3 linked regions of the Rhinolophus ferrumequinum genome follow. The protein of the gene in region 2 purifies or fractionates together with the protein of the main gene of each other region. This does not show direct contact. Links are inferred from orthologs where the notes say so. Each region holds a gene or a part of one and is shown on either strand. Other genes may lie near its edges. The genes, in order: DYRK1A, LRCH3 and SUGT1.

The links.
Region 1: the proteins of LRCH3 (region 2) and DYRK1A purify together in Homo sapiens (affinity purification with mass spectrometry; 3 studies listed by BioGRID and IntAct, counting the BioPlex papers as one, with this or other methods). This does not show direct contact. The link is inferred for Rhinolophus ferrumequinum from reciprocal best matches to the Homo sapiens genes LRCH3 and DYRK1A.
Region 3: the proteins of LRCH3 (region 2) and SUGT1 purify together in Homo sapiens (co-immunoprecipitation; 3 studies listed by BioGRID and IntAct, counting the BioPlex papers as one, with this or other methods). This does not show direct contact. The link is inferred for Rhinolophus ferrumequinum from reciprocal best matches to the Homo sapiens genes LRCH3 and SUGT1.

The regions. Positions count from the first base shown.
Region 1 is NC_046285.1:102,489,531-102,497,335, reverse strand, and holds the start of DYRK1A (dual specificity tyrosine-phosphorylation-regulated kinase 1A), read right to left. Parts: upstream 3,081-7,805; 5' UTR 2,517-3,080; intron 2,159-2,516; exon of another isoform or gene 1,111-2,158; intron 1-1,110. UniProt on the Homo sapiens protein: Dual-specificity kinase which possesses both serine/threonine and tyrosine kinase activities. Exhibits a substrate preference for proline at position P+1 and arginine at position P-3.
Region 2 is NC_046285.1:50,211,062-50,218,071, forward strand, and holds the start of LRCH3 (DISP complex protein LRCH3), read right to left. Parts: upstream 3,038-7,010; 5' UTR 3,002-3,037; coding exon 2,740-3,001; intron 1-2,739. UniProt on the Homo sapiens protein: As part of the DISP complex, may regulate the association of septins with actin and thereby regulate the actin cytoskeleton.
Region 3 is NC_046287.1:9,065,288-9,073,042, reverse strand, and holds the start of SUGT1 (protein SGT1 homolog), read right to left. Parts: upstream 3,055-7,755; 5' UTR 2,921-3,054; coding exon 2,883-2,920; intron 2,792-2,882; coding exon 2,734-2,791; intron 1-2,733. UniProt on the Homo sapiens protein: May play a role in ubiquitination and subsequent proteasomal degradation of target proteins.

The sequences.
Region 1 (7,805 bases), about 52 Mb from region 2:
AGACTCCTGGCTCCTGGAGTCCCAGCTGTATGACCTTGGATGAGTCACAGCAATTTCCCCATCTGTGAAATGGGTAACAGTTCCTACCAGTAGGATAAGCTTGTTTATGTAAATAAAGCTCTGAGAATAATGAATGGCGCTCTTCGTCCAAATTTTTAAATCAGTGTGAAAACAACGTTTTAAGGTGTATTTTTTTTTTTTGACAATTTGGGCGGAATTCAAGAACCAAACGGTGCTCACATTCAAGTGAGGAACCTAGATTACAATATTCTTATAATCGAGGGTTGGATGAAAGGCATAGCCAAATAGTTGGAGTCCATCACTCACTGATTTTGCCATTTTTAACTATTTCGGGGAGGGGCCTTTCGCTAAGTGTTAAGATATTCAGCAGTTTCGGTGGATCTAAGTGAGAGTAGCTTTGTATCTGGGAATAGACTTGTGAAGTTTTGCTGCAATACCCAGATATCAATTATAATTTACGAATTCTCAACCACCAATTCCTCCGGCTGCTAAACAGGTCATCACTCCCCCTCGAGTGGCCGGGATCACTTGCACTCACGGCACAACTTCAGAGCCCGCCGAGTGCCCTCGCTCCAACACACACCCCAAAGGGCCGCGGAGGCACCCGGCTCCCGACCTTCCCCGGCGCCTCGCCCAGCAGCCAGCCCCATTTTCTTAACCCGTACATTGTCCTTGCGGAGAACCCCGGCGGTTCCCACACTGGAGGGGACCAAGAGGAGGGACGAGGGAGGAGCTGGGGGAAGAGGATGAGGAGGAAGAGGAGGAGGAGGAGGAAGACAACCTCCTCCCCTTTGCTCGGGCGACCAGTGAAGGTCTGGCGGTTTCTCCAGCCCCCAGGCCCCGGCTCCCGGGAGGCCGCGGCCCCTGCTCCCACCCTCCGCAACTTTCCCTCCGCTCGCACCCGCCTCTCCTCCGGGACCGGGCCAGTCGGGCTCCCTCCCCCGGCGGCCAGCCCCGGGCCGCGGCGCCTCCTCCTAAAATGGCAGGTCCCTCCCTCCGCCCGGCCGGCCTCGGCGCGGGCCCGGCTGCAGGCCGCGGGGGGAGCCGGGCGCCGGGCCGGGCGGGGCCGCGGCCCGGCCGGACACTCACCAGGACGATGGCGGGGCGCTCGCGCCGCTCCCTCCGGTGAGTCTCAGCCTCCGGCTCCCGCCGCTGCGCTCCCGCCGCGGCCTCCGCAGCCAGCGCCGCCCGGGTCGCCGCTCTCCGCCCCCGGCGCTCCCGGCTCCGCGGCCGAGCCGCAACCTTCTCAGTCTCTCTCCGGCTCGCGGTTCCAGCGGCGCCCGGGGCCGGGGAGGCGACAGCCCCCTCCCCGGCAAATACCGCAGTCCCCGGACCCCGACTCCCGGCGGCGGGGCCGCGCGGCCCGGCCCGGCGCGGAGGGCGGCGGCGGCGAGGCCGGGCGCCGAGTCGCGACCGCTCCCGGCGGCTTCTTCTCGAGGAGGATTTTGTAAATCTCACAAAATGGCGCGCGCTCCAAACCTGCGCAGCGAGAAGCGCCGGGGCCCGAGCGGCGGCGGCGGCGGCGGCTCCTCCGCCAGGAGAGCCCGAACCGCCCGCCCCCGAGTCCCTGCACAGACAGACAGACACTCACACACACACACGCACGCACACTCGCCCTCGCACACGCTCACTCACACACACACTCTCACACTCACACCGGTCCCGCCCGCTCGCCGGCGGCGGCAGCGGCACCAACAGCAGCAGCAGGAACAGCAGCAGCAGAAGCGGCGGCGGCGGCGGCGGCGCCCGCACCCCCCGTTTGGGGTGTCCGCTCCCTGAGCCCGACCTGAGCCGCGATCAGCAGCAGCGACGGCAGCAGTCTCCCCGGATCCCCCCGCCGCTCTTGCCGCCGCCACCCCCGCCTCACTCCAATGGGGCTTTTTATTATTATTCGGGCGGGAAGCGAAAGGGTTTAAAAAAAAACCAACCAACAAAATGGCGACGGACCGACCCGGTCGCTATAGCAACTGTCAATCAAAACGCAAAACCCCGGCTGACGTGCTAACGTCCTCCTCCCGCCCCCCGGCTCAAGCCGTTGGGCGGGGCCTGTTGCTCCGGCAACGGCAGATTCCGTTCCCTCCTTTAGTTCTCCCCCTCCGTACCCAACCAACCACCCAACCCCCTCAGGTCACGTGAAGGATAAATTCGGAGCTCGGGCCCGCTACGAGTGTCAGAGGAGGGCGCGTGATTCGCTCGGGGGAGGGAGAGGAGGAGGATGGCAGGGCGGAGGGAGGGGAGAGGAAGGGGGGCGAGGCGGCGGCCCGGCCCGTAAGCGAGCGCCTGCCGCCTCCCCTGCCGCCTGGCCGCGCCCCGCGCCCGCGCCGACTGCGGGCAGAGGAGCGCGCGCGGCCTCTGCGCCGCCACCCCCGGAGCCCTGCGCTTCCGCGTCGTGCGCCCGCAGCCCCGCCCGCGCCGGGGGGAGGGGGGTCGGGCTTTGCGGCCGCGTGGGGACCCCCGGAAGCCCACCCCCGCGCGCCCTGGCCCAGGGCTCTCACCTTCGTTTCACGGTAGCGCGCCAGCCGAGGGAAGGCAGCCAGGGTGCGCACGTCCGCGCGTTTAAACTGTTCTTGGAAGGGCTCGCGTGCCCCCCTCGCCGGAAAATGCCCACGGAGGCCGCGGCTGGGGGTGGGGAAGAGGCCGCCTCCGCGTTTCAGACATCTCAGGAATTCCGGACGCTTCGCCCGAATCCGGGATGCCCCTGCGGCTGACACCTTGATTAAATCATGCCACACGGTTTGTGTAGCCACCAACGCCAACGTTCAGAAATTGTGGACGGAACCATCATAAAAACTTTTTAGGCTGTGCACGCTCTCCCTGGCTTTCCCACCTATTTCAGACCTCTACCCACCTTGCTGGGCGCTGCCTTCTCGATCGGAATAACCCCCTAAATTAACACGACCTATTACTGTATCCTTGTTGCCCAACACCGTTTTCTTTTTCATGTACCATCTCAGTTTCCAGATTCTGAATTCGCCCACAATTCTTTATTAATATTCTGGCTTTCATGTATTTTTATTATATCTACCCTTTCTGCTTAAATGTTGGTATGTGTCCCTACCCCCCGCCCCCCAGGCATTAAAACCTAGCTGTGCTAGTAGCCATGCTGTGCTGGGTACTTTGTAATCAATAGACAGCCACTGGCTAAAAATTGTATTTTGTACCAAGCCTAATAAAATGGCACTTAAGTGTTACGTTAAAAAGGATAACAGATACTATTTTACACCAAGACACTTAATTTATTGATTGATTTCTAAGTTTGGTTTTTGCCATCATATAATAGTGTTCGTATCAATTTTTTCTTAAGCTTAAACTGTTCACAAATACAGTAGCAACAGATACAATCTTAGTAAAGAATAACAATCCTGTAATAAATACTGGTTCTATCCTATGTAACTCAAGGAAAGACACTTGCTTTAAATGGTTTCCAACAAATGTTTCCCTCCTTCAGTGATAAGAACATTGATACACTTAAGGCAACCATTCAAATTAGCACAGGCCCTGAAAGAAATCAGACCAAACCTGAAATAAATGAGACAAAAAGTAGTCGGGCAAAAAGCTTACTTCAGGCTGATTCTCCTCCGTGGTATAAAAAGTTGCCATGACTCACAAATTCTTTTGGATTGCCGACTTTTTCAAAATTGCCCTGCTAATGCAATTAAAGTCCACGTTCAGCCCGATTGTTTTGAAGAAACTGGCCAAGAGGGTCCATGTTGAGGTGAGAAATCGCTACCTTAATTCCTCCCAGACTCACGTCCACCTATATAACCAACCCCTCCCCCACTCGGGGTTTTCTTCTCCCTGCTCCCCACCCCCACCACATTCACCAGTTTCACTTCTATCATAAGCACTGGAGCATTAGCAACCTTTAACACTGAAGTTAAATTTGAGTCAAATTTTTATTGGTGGTAATGAAGGAAACTTGCATAATTAATTTTTTAGATAACCTGGAAACAATATGACAGTGTCTCAAGAAATGGGCCCTTGTCTTCAGTCAAATCAATCTAGAAGATTATAAGGGTGAGGCAAAATCTTGAGCTTACAATCATGCAGTAATTGAAGGGATTTCTGGTCTTCATATCTAGAAGGCTGCACCCTTCCCTCTCAACCACACAGGGCCAGCCCCACCCCCACCCATGTGACAGTCTTACACAACATTGATCAATGAACTGTCACTGTCATGTCCAGGTTGAAATGCTGTAAAGTGGTTTTAATAGGCTTCACCTAAAAAGTAACCTATAAATTATGCTGGCCCAAAACAAGTAAACAAATAGGCAGGAAGGACTCTGGTTCAGATGCCAGTTTAGTGTTGACTAGGTTTAGCGATTGAATCCTTGCTGTCATCTGAGAATCTCATCACATCCACTGACTGATGTATCTATTCATAGAAGTTAAACTATAAAAGCAAAGACCCCACCCAACTCACAGATAATAACAGCCTCCACTAATCCAGTACATTCTAGGGTATGTCTAATCCTCATAGAAACATTTCATCCCCATTATACAAATGAGAAAACAAACCCGGAGTAAATAACTTTCCCAGGTTACACCACCAGTAAGTGGTGAAGCCAAGATTCAAACCCAGGTGTAATTGCAAAGCCCATTTCTACCACACCAAGACGATCCAAGATTATTTGGATATCAGGTCTTTATAGAGGTAATCAAGATGACATCATTAGAGCGAGCCCTAATCCAATATGACTGGTGTCCTTATAAAACGGGGAAATATGGACAGAAACAGACATACACACGGGGAAGACAACGTGAAGACACAGAGAGAATGCCATCCACAAGCCAAGGAATACCTAAGGCTGGCAGAAGCTGGGAAACAGGATTGAATAAATTCTCCCTCACAGCCTCCCCCAACACCTTGATTTTGGACTTCTAGCCTTCAGAACTGTGATACAATAAATTGTTGTTTAAGCCACCTGATTTGTGGTACTTTGTTATGGCAGCCCGAGCAAACTAACATGCAGATTCTAACCAAGATGCTGGTTTTTTTGTTTGGTTCCACACCTGTTAATGACCATACTAGGTGATACACTATACGAAGCTCAAAAGTTCAGAAGTCAGAACCCCACGAGTTATAACCCAAACATTCCAAGGACAAAGAAACGAATGTTCCTACGACTGCCCCTCACACCAGGTTAGAAGGGGAACAGTTTTACAATTCGTCCCTGGACAGTGGCGCAGCCAGAATCTGACAGCGCTGCACTTCTTACAGACTTCTGAGTAAAGCTCCTTCATTGCTCCCCTTGTATAAGCTTTATTGTTAGTTCTGATTGTAAAAGTTAGTCAAGTGTATGAAACAGATTAAAAGGAAACAAAATAAACCAAGAGAGGGGCCTTATTTAAACTGATAATGATAGCATGCTATGAACCAAGAAGTTAATACTCAGTTCTCTACACTTGAGGTCCAAACACAAAAAATGAAAGTAACATGTGGACATGAGAAACAGTTTTACAATAGGGAAAACAAAGAGATAAAGATTATTCATAGATTTTTAAAAAAAGATTATTCATAGATGTCACCCAGAGATAAACCTCACTCATATCTTCATATTGGCATATATCCTCCCAGACATTCTTAGGGAAACACGCATGTGCACACACTCGCAACACATGTAGGTATGTTTTATGCCTTTTTTACTTGCAATTATGAACGTGTTTGGTGTTAATCAACTGAAACTTAATTATTTTAACAGCTACAAGTATTCCATCAGTTGAATGGGCCATAATTCATTTAATTGCTCCTCTATTTTTAAAGAGTTTTCCTCTTTTTGGTTATCATAAATAAAGCTGTATAAACATTGCATATATACATTTTCCACACCTGTCTGGTTATTTCCTTAGGATAAGAGCATGAATCCTTAAAGAGCTTTGATCGTGTCGCTAAAGTATTCTTCAGAAATGATTTCACCAATTTGCACTCCCAAAAGTAGCGTGAGGATGACTTTTTTCCACTCTTGTTTTAATTTGCATTTGTTGGACCATTTCATGTCTTCTTTTTTATATACATACTTGTTGGCTATTTGTCCTTGCCTGTGTATATATCCCAAGCTCATTTAGGGGAAAAGGAAGAGGTGTCATCTTTTTGTTGATTTCTTTCTAATTTTACTGCAAAAAAGAAGGAAATTGGATGGCTATATGCTGTTGTTAGGCTAGTGTATGATATCAACACCAGACACCCATCACCCCAATTTATCCGTTACCATCTCCATTCCTTGCCATCTGACAAGTGGGTCTAGCCCAGACGGCTTCCCTGCTCTCAGCTTCACTGCCCTCACCCAACCCACTCTTCTTACCTGGACCACGTGCTCTGCCATGACGGAGAGCACGTGGCAGAGCATGGCAGAGCACGTGGCCCAGGTAAGCATCATCAGGTTGCTTACAATGTTGTTTCATGGCAAGATGTGGTTCTAATGGTGTCATTTTTAAAAGTGAGGATGATATGTATTGCTTTCCTGTCATGTAAGAATGTTTACCAATATTATTTCATGAATTATCTTTAATATTTTCTTTTTTGTGACATCAAAATAAAGGTTAAATAGAAAATGTAAATGTTAGATTAAAGCATATTAATTAATTGCATGGTTTTGGAATATCCCGAAAAAGTATTTTACAACATTTGGTCAGGATTTAAAAAGAAATACACTTTAATATATTGATTCATATATATGGCAGCTTCCTCGAAATTAATAGTTTGAGGGAAAATGCCCTAATGAAACTGAAAAATAATTAAGTACATGGAATTTAAATTAGGTAGAGGAGACACAGAAATCTACAAAGATCGCTTACTTGAATGGTTCATTAGCTCAACAGTTCTTGAGAGATTTGGCTTATTTTCTTGGCTTTTTAATGTAGGTATGTAGTGGACATCATTTAATATTCCTACAGTGTTTATCAATATGTGCATTTACTGCTACTGTCTTCAACATATTTCCTATTTTACCTCAATTCAATTCAAAAGATATTTATGTGGTCAGAGCAGTGGTAGTACTTTATTCTATCATATTTGTTTGACTGTTTCTCAACTACAAGTGCTTTTAGGGCAAGGATCTTATATTTTCATCTTTGTATCACTAGCACCATATCTGCCATACTGTAAATACTACTTTGTTTTGTATTTTTAAATGCATGATGAGCTCCTGCAATTTTCTTCCAGTTTTCCTCCATCCTATATGAGGTTTTTGGCAATCAGAAAACTTGAAGGGAAACTGTCCAGTGATTTGTAGACAAGTAGGAAATGTTCTCTTCTGATCTTAAAATGGATGGAATTTCTCTAGCACCAGAGGACAGATTGTTGCAGTCAGCAAAGCTGGAAGACGAAAATCCCACTGAAGATACAATGTCAGTGATTACCATGAAGCTGGTTAGTTCTGTTACAGCAGTGCTTCTCAAACCAGTGTTCTTGCACAGTCCGCAGCTCAGCCCAGGTATAGTCAGTTTGAGAAACTATAGATTTGGGCATTCTCATTTGACAGAGATTTAGACAGGACCTCTGTGTGTCCAAGTCTGTTAACTTCTATGTCCCAAATGCAAAAATAATAGCCTTCTACCGACATGCCCTGTTAACAGCTTAAGGGCAGGGTCAAAGAGCCAAAAGTCCTTTTATGAAGGCTAGCAAACGTATCTTGCCTGTCCATTCCCACGTCTGAATTTACTTCCAGAATTTTAAAAGCAAAAATTGGCTGCGGGGAGGGGAATGGTGAAGGTGGTCAAAAGGTACAAACTTCCAGTTAGAAGACAAAGATACACTAAGGCTGTAATGGTAACAGCAAGGTAAT
Region 2 (7,010 bases):
TCTGAATTCATCAAAGTACCTGGTATACGATAACATGGATGGACCAAGAGGGTTTATGCTAAGTGAAATAACTCAGACTGAGAAAGACAAATACCATATGATCTCACTTGTATGTGGACTCTAAAGAACAAAATAAACAAACAAAACAGAAACAGACTCATAGATACAGACAACAAACTGATGGTTGCCAGATGGGAGGCGGGTTTGGGGGCTGGGTGAAAAAGGAGAAGGGATTAAGTACAAATTGGTAATTACAAAACAGTTACGGGGATGTAAAGTACAGCATAGAGAATATAGTCAATAATGTTGCAACCGCTATGTATATAGTGCCAGGTGGATACTAGATTAATTGGGGGATCACTTCATAAATTATATAAATGTCTAACCACTATGCTGTACACCTGAAACTAATATAATATTGAATGTCAACTGTAACTGAAAAAAATAATCAAAGTACCTGGTATAACAGGTGGACTATGGTTTTGAAGTTACCTCAAGCTAGGTTCAAATACTGGCTAATACCACCTTACCTGGCCTTTAGCTACAGGTCTTTGAGCAAATTATCTTCTCTCTCCAAACCTTGGGTTTACTATCTGTCAAAAACAGGAATGGAAATACCTATCTATACATAGGGAGGCTGTGTGGCATAGTACAGAGAAAACAATTAGATGGACCTGGGCTGAAATTCTACCATTAATTCTAGTTATATGACTTTCTCTGAGTGACCTCTCATCTGCAAATTTTAAGTGATTCCTCATATGTAAAATGGGGATAATAATATTTACTCGATTGGTTTTAAGCATTTAACAAGGCAATGTATTTTAAAACACCTAACACACTGAACAGCAAGCAGTGACAACTCAATAAATGATCTTATCCACATCAAATTATCTGTTTACAATAATTCAGAGAATAGTTCAGTGTTTTTGTATTTACCAAGGTCTGCCAAAGATTTCTTATACTTAATAAATTATAGTTCTAACATATTAAGATGATTTTAGTCTAATAGGTTATAAAATACCTTGTAGTCCTTTTTTTAGTTTTCGATCAGATAAAATGTCAACCAACAAAAAATTGGTTTATATAGAAACTATTAAAGTAATAAATGTGGATAATAACAAATTAAAAATTCAGAGTACAGTAAGGGAACAATTCATTGGGATTACTTATTAGACTTCATAAATGCCCTTGGGTTTTCTTTGTTAGTTAATAAAATATTCCTTAAAGGCAAAACATGTTGGTCCTACAACTATTTTAAAACAGGTTAAGATAATGAGCTAGATAAACTCCTGTTAATCAATTTGTTCTTTAGCTTCAGGCTTAATATAGTAATACTGAAATGACTCACACCAATATGAAATTGCTACGCTATTTCCTGAATACTCATATGCCATACAGCCATCTCCTGAACAGAATCAGAAGATATGGGGCATGAATGACAAGTTTAGATGTTGTCTATCAGAACACATGCCAAAGACAAGTGGCTGTTCATATTTACCTTAGCAAGAAAGTTTAACTTAATTATCATTCACTAAAAAATACAAACGGCATTCAGTACAACTGTTTCCAAAAATTAAATAAGTAGGCACTGAATTTTTTCCACTTTACACTAGAGCAAAAGTTTCTTTGGAAAGAATAGTTTCTTGAAGCAGTTTAACAGTTGTTTATTTTTCTAACATGAGTGAATCATACATATGTAATACCAATCTTTAATGAGTGCACAAACATAAGAAGGTGTTAAATTGAAGATTTTAAAATAAGATAAATAAAATGGAATAAATATAAGACACAAAGTACTACGTATTCTTTGGTTGCAAAAATACTATATGGAAATAAAACACTTCACCACATCATACTATAGAAACTTGTGTTACAGATTTTTTTCCTCCTTTGTGCAAAACATGAATAGACACAGTTTTTAATCTACTCCCTGAGGAAGCTGTATTTTAAACACAAGAGAAACATGTGTTGAACATCTCAGTAACCATTGTTCTCTACAACTAAGAAAACCTAATTCCTTATTATATCCTGTTCAAAAATATGTATAAAGCAAAAATAACTTTTTTTAAAGCATTAAATACAGCTATAGCAGGCAATCTACGTATCGTTTATAAGTAGTTTTCTTCCTTCAACTTTTTTTTTGGGGGGGCGATGATGAGAGAGGAACGTAATGGAATCTGAAGGTAGGCTCTACTTATGTTTACAAGTACATTTGGTAAGTCAACTAGATAACGGTGGCAAAAGAAAAGTTACAACGTTCGGATTCACATTAAAAACAACTTTTGAAAAAACGCCAGCGCTGAGATCGAAGCATTCCTGACAATGCAGCGACAAACGCTATTCTGATATAATAACAGTGTGCTACCATCCCAAATCTTGGCAAAGTCAACTTGGAATCTCAAATCCGAAAAGGCCTGCAGAAACCGGGGCGGGGCAAGGGTCTACCCCAGCAGAGGCATAAGTTACTGTACTGGGAGAGTACACCACCACCCATCAATCCCCTACAGCCCTCTTCCTCTAGAGATGCCGCTGTCCGCCTCACCCCAGGCTCGGGATCTGGCCCGCAGGCCCGGGGGGTGAGTGGGTTGGGGCAAGTTGCCCTCTGCCCGTTACCCGGGTCCCGATAAAGAGATGTAGGACCAACTGCTGTAACCACCCCCCGGGTCCCCCCACGGGCTGGAATGGCCTTCCGCCGCGCCAAGGGCCGCCAGACGACAGGGATACCCCCACCCAGCTCACCCGCGCGGGTGGTGTCCGTCAGGTCGTGGTTGGCCGCTCCCCGGGGAAACTCCCTCAGTTTCCGGCCGCTCAGACTCAGCACCCCAGTCACCGCCGCCTCCTCCAGCGCTCGATCGATGGAGCGGCTCCACGAGACCGGGCCAGGACCAGGACCTGCCCCGGAGCTTGGGCCGCAGTTAACACCGGAGAGGTTAGCTCCCGACGCTGCTGGGCCAGAGTATTCTGCAGCCGTGGCCACAGCGACCAAGCCTGCGGCCGCCATTTCCCAGCCGACAATCTCCGACCCGCCGGTGCAGCGCATGCGCGGCCAGAACTGATGGGTGGGCGGGGAAAGGGCACACAGACCCCGAACCGTTCCCTTCATGGGCAGGGCTGCGGTCCTGCTGCGTACATCCAAGCGCTTGCCTCCGCCCACGAAGTTTTCAAGCGAAAATAAAACGGAACTCACAAATCTGGAGCAGCCGTTATTCTAGATTTCCAGTAGCATTTCTAAAATGTCTCTACAAAAATCTTTCAGACGCTTCTCACCAAAACATCTCTGTCGTCTTCCCTCAGTACTGGAGGATTAAGGAGGATTAAGCATTAAGTTAAGGCTTCCTAACACTTGCTGCCAGAAACTTGGGCAGTGAGAGAAGGGGACCCTGGGATACGACCTAAAACATTTCCCAACTTCGTCATTCTGTAAACCAAATGATCCAAATGGAGACATGTGGACTTACTATTATTGCCTGAGGGAAAACAAGGGCTAAACTGGATCCCAAACTCCGTAATTCTCATTGAAAGGGTTGTAGAAATATTTTAGGCCCTCCCTCCCTGCCTTTTCTGGAATAGTTCTTAATAAAAATAAAACATCTTAAGTAGTTGTCCTTGAGGCAAGATTTTAAGCAAGATGAACAGCATTCAAGTCTGAATTTTTGGTCTGAAACAAAAACTGAGGAAGAGAAAATGGTCTGGCCATAATCTAAATGTCAGAAATAAAGGTAGAACTAAAGAAATGGTAAAAAAATGAAACCAGTTACTGAAAAAGTGGAAAATACCACTTCATTTTAAACCAATTAAGACTTCAGTTATATTGCAGTCTTGAGCATTTTATCTTTTCTTTTGCACATTTAAGCTGTTCCTGCCAATTGATGTAAATTTCCCCTACAATCAATCATCTAGTTTTTTACTCAGGGCAATAGAAGAGGCTGTCAGATAGTCCTTTCCCTAGATTATAATCTAATCATAGAATCCAGACAAATAGACCAATTAGAGATCAAGACAAGAAAGGCCTGAGTAGGGGTGGGGTGGATTATCAGAATTTAATGAAAAGAATTTACATTGTGGATGAATGAGGTTTTGAATCAAATTTGGATTGTGAAGTGGGATAGGCTGGAAGGTGAGAGCAATATTTCAGATTGCGGAGGATCAGCATGATCACACCTAGGTATGATTTATAACAGTACATGTGGAGAACATGAGGGCCCAAGACCAAAAAGTTCATGTCAAACAGGTAAAGAAATTAAGGCTGGCGAGATCCTACTCACCATTCAAGGCCCAACTCTTTAATAAAACCTTGTTAGCACTTCCCTCAACTCCAAATTGGAAGAGATTGTAAAAACGTTTAATCTCAGTGCCAAAGCTAATTAGTAATGGCTACTCATAGCTGTTCTCTGAACTCAATACTATGCTAGGTTCTTCAGCAACAAGTTTCATGATCAATTGTCAATGCCCTTTATGAGCTATGGGTCACTGCAATAGTAAGTGATGTGTTTGTTGTCCCTGACAAATAATATTTATCTACTACATGAATTGATTTTTGTTATTCTGGTCTACCTGAAATTTTGTTATTCTTAGAAAGATTTTAAGCTATTTTAGAGTAGGATCTCATTTTATAATTTTAGATACAGTATTTCAACTACAATGATTAAAAGCATAATCCTACATGCCATATTAACAATGCCAGAAAGTTGCCAGATACCTTTCTAAAATGCGCCATTATATTATCTATATTTGATTACCTATTACCTTACACATTTACATTAAATTCTTCTTCTGACAAGTTCTCCATAATATGGTTTAATTCCTATCTACCTGCACATCTCATAATTGCAACATTTCATGTTAACCTTGGTCTCTGAACTTCTCGCCAAGTTTATAGTTGATGTTACCGTGTTTCCCTGAAAATAAGACCCAACCAGAACATCAGGTCTAACGCATCTTTTGGAGCAAAATTTAATATAAAACCCAGTATTATATTATATATTGTATTATATTAAAGCCCCGGCCTTATACTATAGTAAAATAAGACCGGGACTTTTATTAATTTTTGCTCCAAAAGATGCATCAGACCTGATGGTCCGGCTAGTTCATATTTTTGGGGAAACACAGTACTTTATCTATTCAACTAGATTTTAAAGACCTTAGTATGTTAAGCTACCTTTATCTTCTCTAACCCAGGGCTGAGTATATTAATAGGAGTTAAAAAATAGTGGAAAGAAGCAGAGACAGAAGATGGGTTATGTACTAACACAGTAGAGGTTATGTACTAATACAGGAAAGTTGAGAGAGAAAAAATTAGTTTTTTAGAACAGGATACTTAAGTATGTAGCTATCTGAAAGCCAAAAGAAAGGCTTGTGGATACAAGGAAAATGAAGGTGCTATATATACCATTATACGAGAACAAGTCCTAGGTAAAGAAGGCTGGAAAAAAGGATAGATCAAGGAGTTTTGAGACTTCTAGGGATTTGAGGTTTCATCTATAAAGCAAAGGTAGAATATGAGGGAATTCTCATTCTACTCCCTCAATCTCCACAAATCAAGTGACAAGATCCTTTTGCAAGAATGAGATACAGGAAATGGAGTCATTATGGGAAGTTCACCAGAGTCTAGTGATGCATAAAAGACATGATGAGAAACAATTGCAAAAAGGCTGTGAGCAAAAGAGTTACAGGCATCTATAACTTATTCCACTACTGCTCTGTGGTCTGGAAGTAGGAGTTAAAAATATAGGCAGTGGGGGTTACTGAATGTTAGGAACAGATATAGAGAATTTCCCTGCTTCTTCCTGTTCATTTTACAGGCTGAAAGTTAGGAGCAAAGGTTTCATTCAAATCTCAATAGCTCTCTCCAGCTAATCCTTTTTAAAAAGGGTCAGATTCCAAACTGACCCATGCAAAAAGAACTCTCTTTAAAGGGAAGTTTAAAAATTACATGCCTTTTGTTTTTTTTACAGTGGCAAAAACAATCATAATTCTGATTAAAGTTCAAAGACATACTGATCAAAAATAAAATCATTTTCTGCCCTAATACTGCCTACATTCAGAACGTATGGCATTAATTCTCTTTAGTGCAAAGTCAGCTATTTTTCTGTTATCCCCTTATAAATCAGAAAAATTACCTCCCCCTAAAAAGAACAAAAATTACCCTGATACTGGATGTGTGAATTATAAAGCTACTGACAGTAAAATGATATACATATCTATTGTAACAAAAAAAATAACCATTGGTCAATGAAGTCTATGTTTCTTCATATTTAGAAGTATTTTATGATTTGTTTATAATTAAAATTGTGGTGAAGTTTATGCCTGTTAAAAAAAAACGCAGTCTGATTAGGAACACTGGCCTTTTCTAATAGGTCTACATAATTTGAATACCGAAGTAATGAAGTCTCATAATCATTACTGGTAGATTTACCTACCATGCTACAAAAGCTAAAGTATTGGTTTTACCGCTTTTTAGGTATCTGACAAGCCACACACCATTCCACTACTTTCTGTGGGTGTTTAATTCACAGTTTATTATGAATTGAGAATTAAAAGATCTAAGCTCAAAAAGTGACTGCCCCACACAAGTCTTGAAAAACCAGGTCTCACTTAACTAAGATGTAAAAAGAGGGGATGAACTAGATGATCTCTAAAGGCTCATCCAGGCCAATATTCTGCATTCTAAGTAAATGTGACTCTCTATTTTAACTCCTCCTGGCAACTTCCTGTTGGAGCTATGAATGAAATGGTCAAAAGGCAGTTTAGAGGGATTGAATATGAGTCTAGATTGATTTACCAATTTAGCTAGTAGGTAGCTTTTAAAACCCTAAAAGTTATAATCACTACAAAGGTTTTACAATAGAACAATCTAAAAACCACAACTCAATCTTTACAGCTAAGAATAAATCACGTGAGTACTGTAAGATTTTATTTGTTAAAAATGAACAGCTTTAGAATAGATCTAAATGTAACTTTTCCAAAAAACACCAAAAAGTACAGTGTAAAGCGTCTCCTCATTAAATACA
Region 3 (7,755 bases), on a different chromosome or scaffold from region 2:
GAAAACGAATTTCTAAATCTTTAAAATTTTAAGCTCAACAAGGTAACTGGTTGTTAAGGTTAAAAGCAAAAGCAGACTGCTCAGATTGACCGAACATCTGAAGACCTTCAGCTCTGGGCAACTCAATTCGATTCCATTTTCTGTTTTCTTCCAGCCACAGCTAATCCCCAATTATGGATAGTAAACAATATCAACCCTTCTCCCTTCCTAAACTACCTAATACCGCTGGAGAAAAAACATAACCATGCAGCACTGCTGCCAACGTGCATGTCTGCCAACCGGCTATCCTCTCCACAAAGCTATCTGTGGTCAGCCACCTCAAGGTCAGCTCCCACACTGTTCACTGTATCACACATCCTACCCCCTCCCCCAGAGGATGGCCAATGCACTGAAACCGCAGACATCACTTCTAAACTGTCCACCCTTGAGCAAGTTAATCTCTTTAGCCTTGGCTTCCTTGTTAGAAAATGCAAATACCCACCTCGAAGTTGTTGCAAGAATTATGGTAAGAGTCATTTCACACATCTGAGTGCCTACCAGATCCCAGGCACTACACTAAGAACACAGTGATAAACAAGGTACACAGAATTCCTCCTCTCTCGATGCTTACATTAGGGCCGAAATTGAACAGCGTGGTCAGAGAAGACAGCTTCTCCAAGGTGACACTTGAGCTGAAATCTAAAATTATGAGCATCCCCAAGAAAAACATGAGAAAGATGGAGAGAGAGTACATTTTAGGCAAAAGAAAGTGCAAGTCCAAAGACCTTCCAACAGGACTGAGCATGACACATTCAAGTAACCCGAAGAAAGCCAGCGTGGCTAGGACAGAGAGAGGAAAAGAAACTACAAGCTGCTTATCTCATGGGCCTCCTTACATTACTGGGCACTTTATATTACTTACCTTCATAATAACCTTTTCAAATAGGATCTATCTTAGAGACAGGAATTCTGATCCGGAATGATAACAGAAATGTACCTGAGATTACACAGTTGTGAAACCAAGACTTGGACACAAGCAGTCTGATTCCTTGCCTATTAAAATCAATTATGCTGTATTTATACAATGGAATACTACACAGCAATGAAAAAGAATCGCACAATTATATGAATGCATCTCACACGTTTAAAGCAAGACAGAGAGCCTACACTCAACGGATTTTGTTTACATGAAATACAAGAACAAGCAAACTAACCGATGGTGTTGGACATGAGAATAAGGGTTGCCTGGTGGGAAAGGGGAATTATTGGCAAAGAAGAAGCATGAGAACGCCTTGAAGATGAAAGTGGCCTTTATCTTGATCTGGGTGTCATACACACATACAAACTAAACTTCATTAGTTGCAGACTTCAGATTTGTGTTATTTACATATAGCATACTTCAATAAAAAAATTAAAAAGTAAAATAAGTGAGATGGAAAGTGACATCAATCACCTTTAAAAGCAACTTTTATATAAACTTGATTTCCAAAGGAGGCACTGGGTCTAAGACCATCACTAAGTCTGTAAATAGCTATCTAGCTAACCTAAGGAATTGTGGAGAAAAATTCTCAGTGTCTCCTGTAACATTACTCTAATGCAAGAAGCCTCACTAGGAGCGGGACTACTTTATTTGAAGGCCTTCAGATGCAAATCCAAAAAACATACCCGGACCTAAAAGGCACTAAGGGACCCAGCTCATTATTTCCTCCCCACCTGAGCCCATACTCCCTTTTCACCCCACTCTAGTCAAATGGGAGTTTTTGCTGCTGCTTGTACAGGCCAGTTTCATTCTGACCTCAGGACCTTGGCACTGGCTCCTCTTTCTACCTGGAACGCTCTTTCTCCAGAGCTTCCCAGCTCATTCCCTCAGGTCTCTACTCAAATGTCACCTCAGAGAGACTCTACTACCATGTGGCAAATTATTTCTAGAAGTCATAGCTAAAAAGAAGTTCTCTTGCCTCCAAATGCTAACCTTAGGTATGTTAGAGGGTTTGGTTTCTTTTCCTCATGCTTCAAAGCAAGAAACCCCTGGTTAAATTTTTGTGATCCCCTGTATCACGTATCCTATTACTTTCTACAATTATTTAACTCTTGCCCTTTTACTTTCTTTTATGGCTTTATAGTCTTTCACTTCACACAAAAGGCCTTGTTAAGTCAGTTAAATATCTCAATAAGCCTTTAATCAATAGCAATTGGTGCCTTGCACACAGCATCTCCAAAAAATATTGTTCTAATGAATAAACAAATGAAGACCGAACAGTGGCAGGACATGTGGAAATTTTCAGGGACACAGAGGGAAAGGGGTTTCATTCCAGAAGTTTGAGTTCATACACTCAGGATATTGTCTGGTACATAAGAATGGCAAGGATGATTGTCAAACGAAAAGCCGAATTCAACAAATACCATCAAGCCTAGATGTCACTTTTTGTCCTAGTCACATGTCATTAAAAAAAAAAAATCCTTCCAGACCAACTATGCATGGATCTCAACTACAGAAACAGACAAGGTTTTTCTAAGGAGCTGCTAGGATGCAGAAACGGTCCGGGAGTCGGAGGGGACAAGAACAGCGTGGAGTAAGGGGGCCACTGTGGAACAGGGAAAGGAGAGCGGGAGGCTGTCAACACCAGGGCTCAGACACAGCAAACACAGCCCCCCCCCCCCACCCCCGGTCCCAGGAAGGCATTTGCTGGCAAGAGGAGGGGTCGGCCTCGTTCCCCGAAGGACAGTCCAGGAGGCTGAGACGGGTTCTCTCACCTCTAACGCCGCCTGGGGGTCCTCGTCGATCAGAGCATCTGAGAAGCTCCGGAAAAACCTGCCAGGAACACAACAACTTCAGCCGGGCTCACTAACCAAGGAACCGGAGAAAGGGGGATAACCATAAATAGCAAAGAGAAGACACACACAGCTGGGCTGTTGCAGGTCCCGCTGCAGCCGCCGCCATCCCTAACAGTCACTGCTGCCGCTGCCGCCGCCGCCGCCGCCGGAGCTGCCGCTACCGAGGTGACCAGGTCCGCGGCCGCCCAAGGGGGAAACTTCTGGAGACACACCAGCCGAGCTTCCGTCCTAAATAGCCAACGAGCACCCACGCAGCGTGCCGCGGGGGGAGGGGCGGCGCGAGGCGGCCGCGAGGCCGGCTGGGATCGTGGAGGACCGAGCCTGCCGGCTGACCCGGCCTCCGTGACCGCGCTCCCAGACCCCGCCTCTCGCAGCCATGGTGACAGAGGCCTCGACTGTTCAGGTTTGCGGTCGCTTCCATTGCGGTCGCTTCCACCGCGCACCCCGCAGCCCGACGGAGCCTTCACGGGTGGCAGCTGACAGGCACTTGGGAACGAGTGGCGTTTGGGGGCCTTTGTATGTCTGTTAATAACACAAGCCACTTGGCGCTCGATTTTCACAAGTCACCAGGTATCAAGGTTACAAGAGGCAGCCAAAGTCTTTCCTGCCCCGTGACGTCATTGGCCGCTCGTGCTCGTCCGACACAAAGTTCCCGGATGGCGCCTGGCTTCCCGGGATCTGTGCGCTGGGAACCCTAACGGAGTGGGACTGAGCGGAAGTTGTTCTGCCCTCGCAGCAGCGGGACAGAAGGAGGTCTTTCGTTCCGGGGCGGGTGTACGACTCCATTACCCAGAACTCCACAGGCCCAGGTTTTCTCCCCAAGTGGCTTCCCAGATTAAGAAAAACCTGTTCCATCGGAAGGGAAGAAGGTGGCCTGAAGGTGTCTCAGAGCTGCTTTAGTTTCCACCCTAGTCGGTCAGCGCCTCCCTCACCGGCCTTTGATGCTTGCGGATCAGATAGAAGCTTCCAGCAAGTTCCACGGGGGGTGGGGTGGGGGGGAGCAAGAGGGCGTGGGAGTAAGTGGCTTAGTATGTTACCGGTGCAGGGTCCTTGCCCCCTCTCAGGATAGAAATCAAGAGGGGGCGAAACAGTTTTGCAGAGAGAAATGTGTATTAAAGCAAAAGCTTGATACACCAAGGGAGCACACGCTGAAGGAGAATGCGTGTGGCTCCCCGAGATTGACAGGTACAGCGGTTTTATAGGCTCTTGAGGTTGGGGGCAACCCCTTCCTCTTCTTCCCCTCCCCAAAGTATGTCGGGGCACGTCTACACTGCGCCTGCACAGTGCTCCTACGTGCTCCTACCTGCCGTGCATGGCGTGTCTCATCAGCAATCTTAAATCTCCCCCTACAGGTGTTTTTAAGCATGATAATGAGGAAAAGTGAACTATAGGACAACTGTTTTAATTATTGTGCATGCGCGACTTTAGAAACTTCCTGGGCCGGCTTCTCTCTCTTGTAATTATGAATCTTCTGCTCACTGTTTCTTATTAGTGGGGGAATGTGGCTCGAGGATGTTGTCCCCAGCTGCAGGCTCCAGGCTTACTGACCACTGACTACAAGTAGAGGTAAACAAGTAAATAAACTTGAGTGCCTACCACATCCAAAAATCTAAACTCAGCCCTAGGATTCAAAGATGTCGTGCTTTCCAGAAACTTAAACCAATGCTGTTAAGCGCTAACGTGAAATCGGGAAGTCAATCACGTGAGAGCAGGAAGGCGCACTTGGAATAGAAGGTATATGGATTCCTCAGAGTTGTGATACCTGAGTCGCAGCCTTCAGACGGGGAGTTAGACTCAGTCGATCATGCAAGTGGAAACGGTAATTCAGACAGAATAGGACGTGTGTTGGAAAACGATAATGTGAACTCTAAAAATGGGTAGAGCCAGAATTCAAGTTAGAAGCAGACTTGCTGGAGAGGTAGGTAAATGTCAGGTCAGGAAGGGATAGCTAGGTGTGTGGTCTGCTCAGAAGCTTGGATGGGATTCTCCTTTTTAAAAAAAAAAAAAAACTTATTTTAAGTGTGGCTTTGTGGGGACAGAGCCCCAGAGAGCAGTTTCCAGGCTCTCGGCCTCACGTGGAAAGGTGCTGGCTTGGGTAGTAGATGGCCATCAGCTGTAACCAGTGAGCCATTGGCCACTAATGTAACTGCCGCGGCTACATTGGGGAGTCGAGGAGAGTCGTCGGTCGGTTGGCAGAAAAGCGGACAGCAGGTCGCACATCGTGTGAATCCAGCCTCCAGTGAGACTATACTGGTATGACTTCCCTACCTATGGCTCCGTGGGTGTTCCTTTTTGGCCTAGCCATATCCTGCGTTCTTATGTGGGGAGCGGGACCAGAGACCCCGCAGGCCGCCCCGCGTGACAGCCTTTCCAGGACCCATCAGCTCCAAGTAAAGTAGTTGTTTCAATCTAGTTGTGGAGGGCACAGCTCACAGTGGTCCATGTAGGGATTGAAGTGGCAACCTTGTTAAGAGCACCACATTCTAACCAACTGAGCTAACCGGCTGCCCGGATGGGATTCTCTTAATAATGCTAACCCATTATAAGGATTTTTAATCAAAAAAGGCATTAACAGTCAAGTTTGCATTTTTAAGTACATTATTCTATCTTTGCTGTGGAAGAATGATTAAAGGGGAAAGGAGAATAGCTGTTGGGAGACAATTGGTTTACAGGCCAAAGTGACTCTTAAATCAGTGATTGTAGGGATGGAGAAGAAGGTAAGAATTACAGAAATATTTATTTGAGGTAAACTGTCTGGGTTTGCTGATCTTTTATGATCAATGCTTTTTATATCATACATAATAAGGCTTTGCTTATGCCAAAGCCATGAAGATATTCTCCTGTGTTTTCTTCTAGCTGCTTTATTGTTTTACCCCACTTATCCAGATCTATGATTTATCTCAAATTAATTTTTGTGAAAGGAATGAAGTTGGAATCAAGGTTCATTACCTACCCCCCCATATGCATACCCAGTTGACCCAGCCCTACTTATTGACAAGAACGCCATTTGTCATTTCCCCACTAAATTCTTAGGGCAACTGTGTAAAGTAATGACTACATATATATGTGGGTCTGTTTCCAGGTTCTTATTCCATTGGTCTGTTTGTCTAACTTTGTACCAGTACCACAGTGTCTTAATTCATGAACCTTTATAAAAAGTCCTGAAGTCCTATAACTTTTTCTACCCGGTTACATGGTTACCTTGGCTATTCTAAGTCCTTTGGTATTTCCATTATCCTATAAATTTTGCAAATTTCTATTTATTTATAAATTTTAGAATGAGCATGTCAATGTCCAAAAACCAAACAAAACCTTGCTGGGATTTTAATTGGGGTTGCATTGGAGCTATAGATCTAGTTGGGGAAAACTGACATCTTAATGATGATTCCTCCAATCCATGAATATCGTACACCCCTCCATTTGTTTAAGTGGTCTTTCATTTCTCTCAGCAGTGCTTTGTAGGTTGCAGTGTAAAGTTCTTACATAGATTTCACTGGATTTAAATCTTGGGTATTTGGTTTTAATGCTATTTTAAATGGCTTTTAAAATTTTTTGTATCTACTTATTTGTTGCTAGTATATAAAAACTACTGATTTTTACATATTGACCTTATATTCAGCCATCTTGCTAAGTTCCCTTATTATTTCTAATACTCTGTAGATTCTCTTAGAAGTTCTGTGATCACAATTTTGTCATCTGTGAATAAAGATTGTTTAATGTCTTTCTGTGCAATCATTAGATCTTTTATTTTTCTTGCCATCTGTCACTGGCTAGGAGATCTGCTCTAGTGTTGAATACAAGTAGTGATAATGGACTTCCTTTCTTGGTTGTAGCATCAGGGGAAAGCATTCAATATCTAATGCCTGCACTGAAAAATTCATATGTATTTTTCTTTCACATGTTAATGTGAATTACATTGGTTCATTTTCAGATGTTCTCTAGACGGTCAATATGCGTATGAAAAATTCTTTATCAATAACTATATTACTGACATTAAAATCACAATACTAAACACTCCCACCAGAATGTTTAAAATTAAAACGAATTCCAGTATCAAGCATTGGTAAGGATATGGAACACCTAAAACTTTCATATATTGCTAGCGGAAGTATAAATTACTATAACTACTTTAGAAAACTTTTTGACACTATTAATACTAGTCATACATATACCTTATTGCCCATTAATTCTTACAATGGGCACATACCCAAGAGAAAAGAGTACTTAAGTTCCTGTACAAGAAGATTGAATTGCAGCATTATTCACATACCAAAACCTGGAAATAACGTAAATGTCTTTTCACAGGAGAAAAACATTAAAGAGCAATGATTAAGAATGAACTACCAATACACACAACAGTATGGATGAACATCACAAATAATGTTTAAAGAAGCCAGACAGAGTACATCCTGATTGATTCCATTTATATGAAGATTTAAAAAAACACAAAAGTGCTCACTTCAGCAGCACTTATACTAAAAAAACACAAAAAACTATATGGTGAGGAACATCAGAGGGTGATCTGGCTCGGATGAGCCATGAGGGAACCTTCTTGGATGCAGGAAATGTTACATACCCTGGGTGGTAATTACACCAATGTGTTCAGATGTAAAATTTTATCAAGTTGTATACTTAAGATTTGTGCACTTGATGATTCAATAAAATAGGGGGGAAACGATTTAAAACAAAATAAATGAACAACCAATTTGAAACTTAAAAAACCATGACATTTACAATGGCATCAAAAATACTAGACTGAAAAATCTGACACAGTATGTGCAAAACATATACATTGAGAATTACAAAACATTGCTGAAATTAAAGAACACGTAAACAAATGGAGAGGTACTCTACGTTCATGAGTCAGAAGACTCAATATTAAGATGTTGGTTCTTCCCTACTTGGCCCATAGATTCAACATGATCCCAAGCAAAATGCATA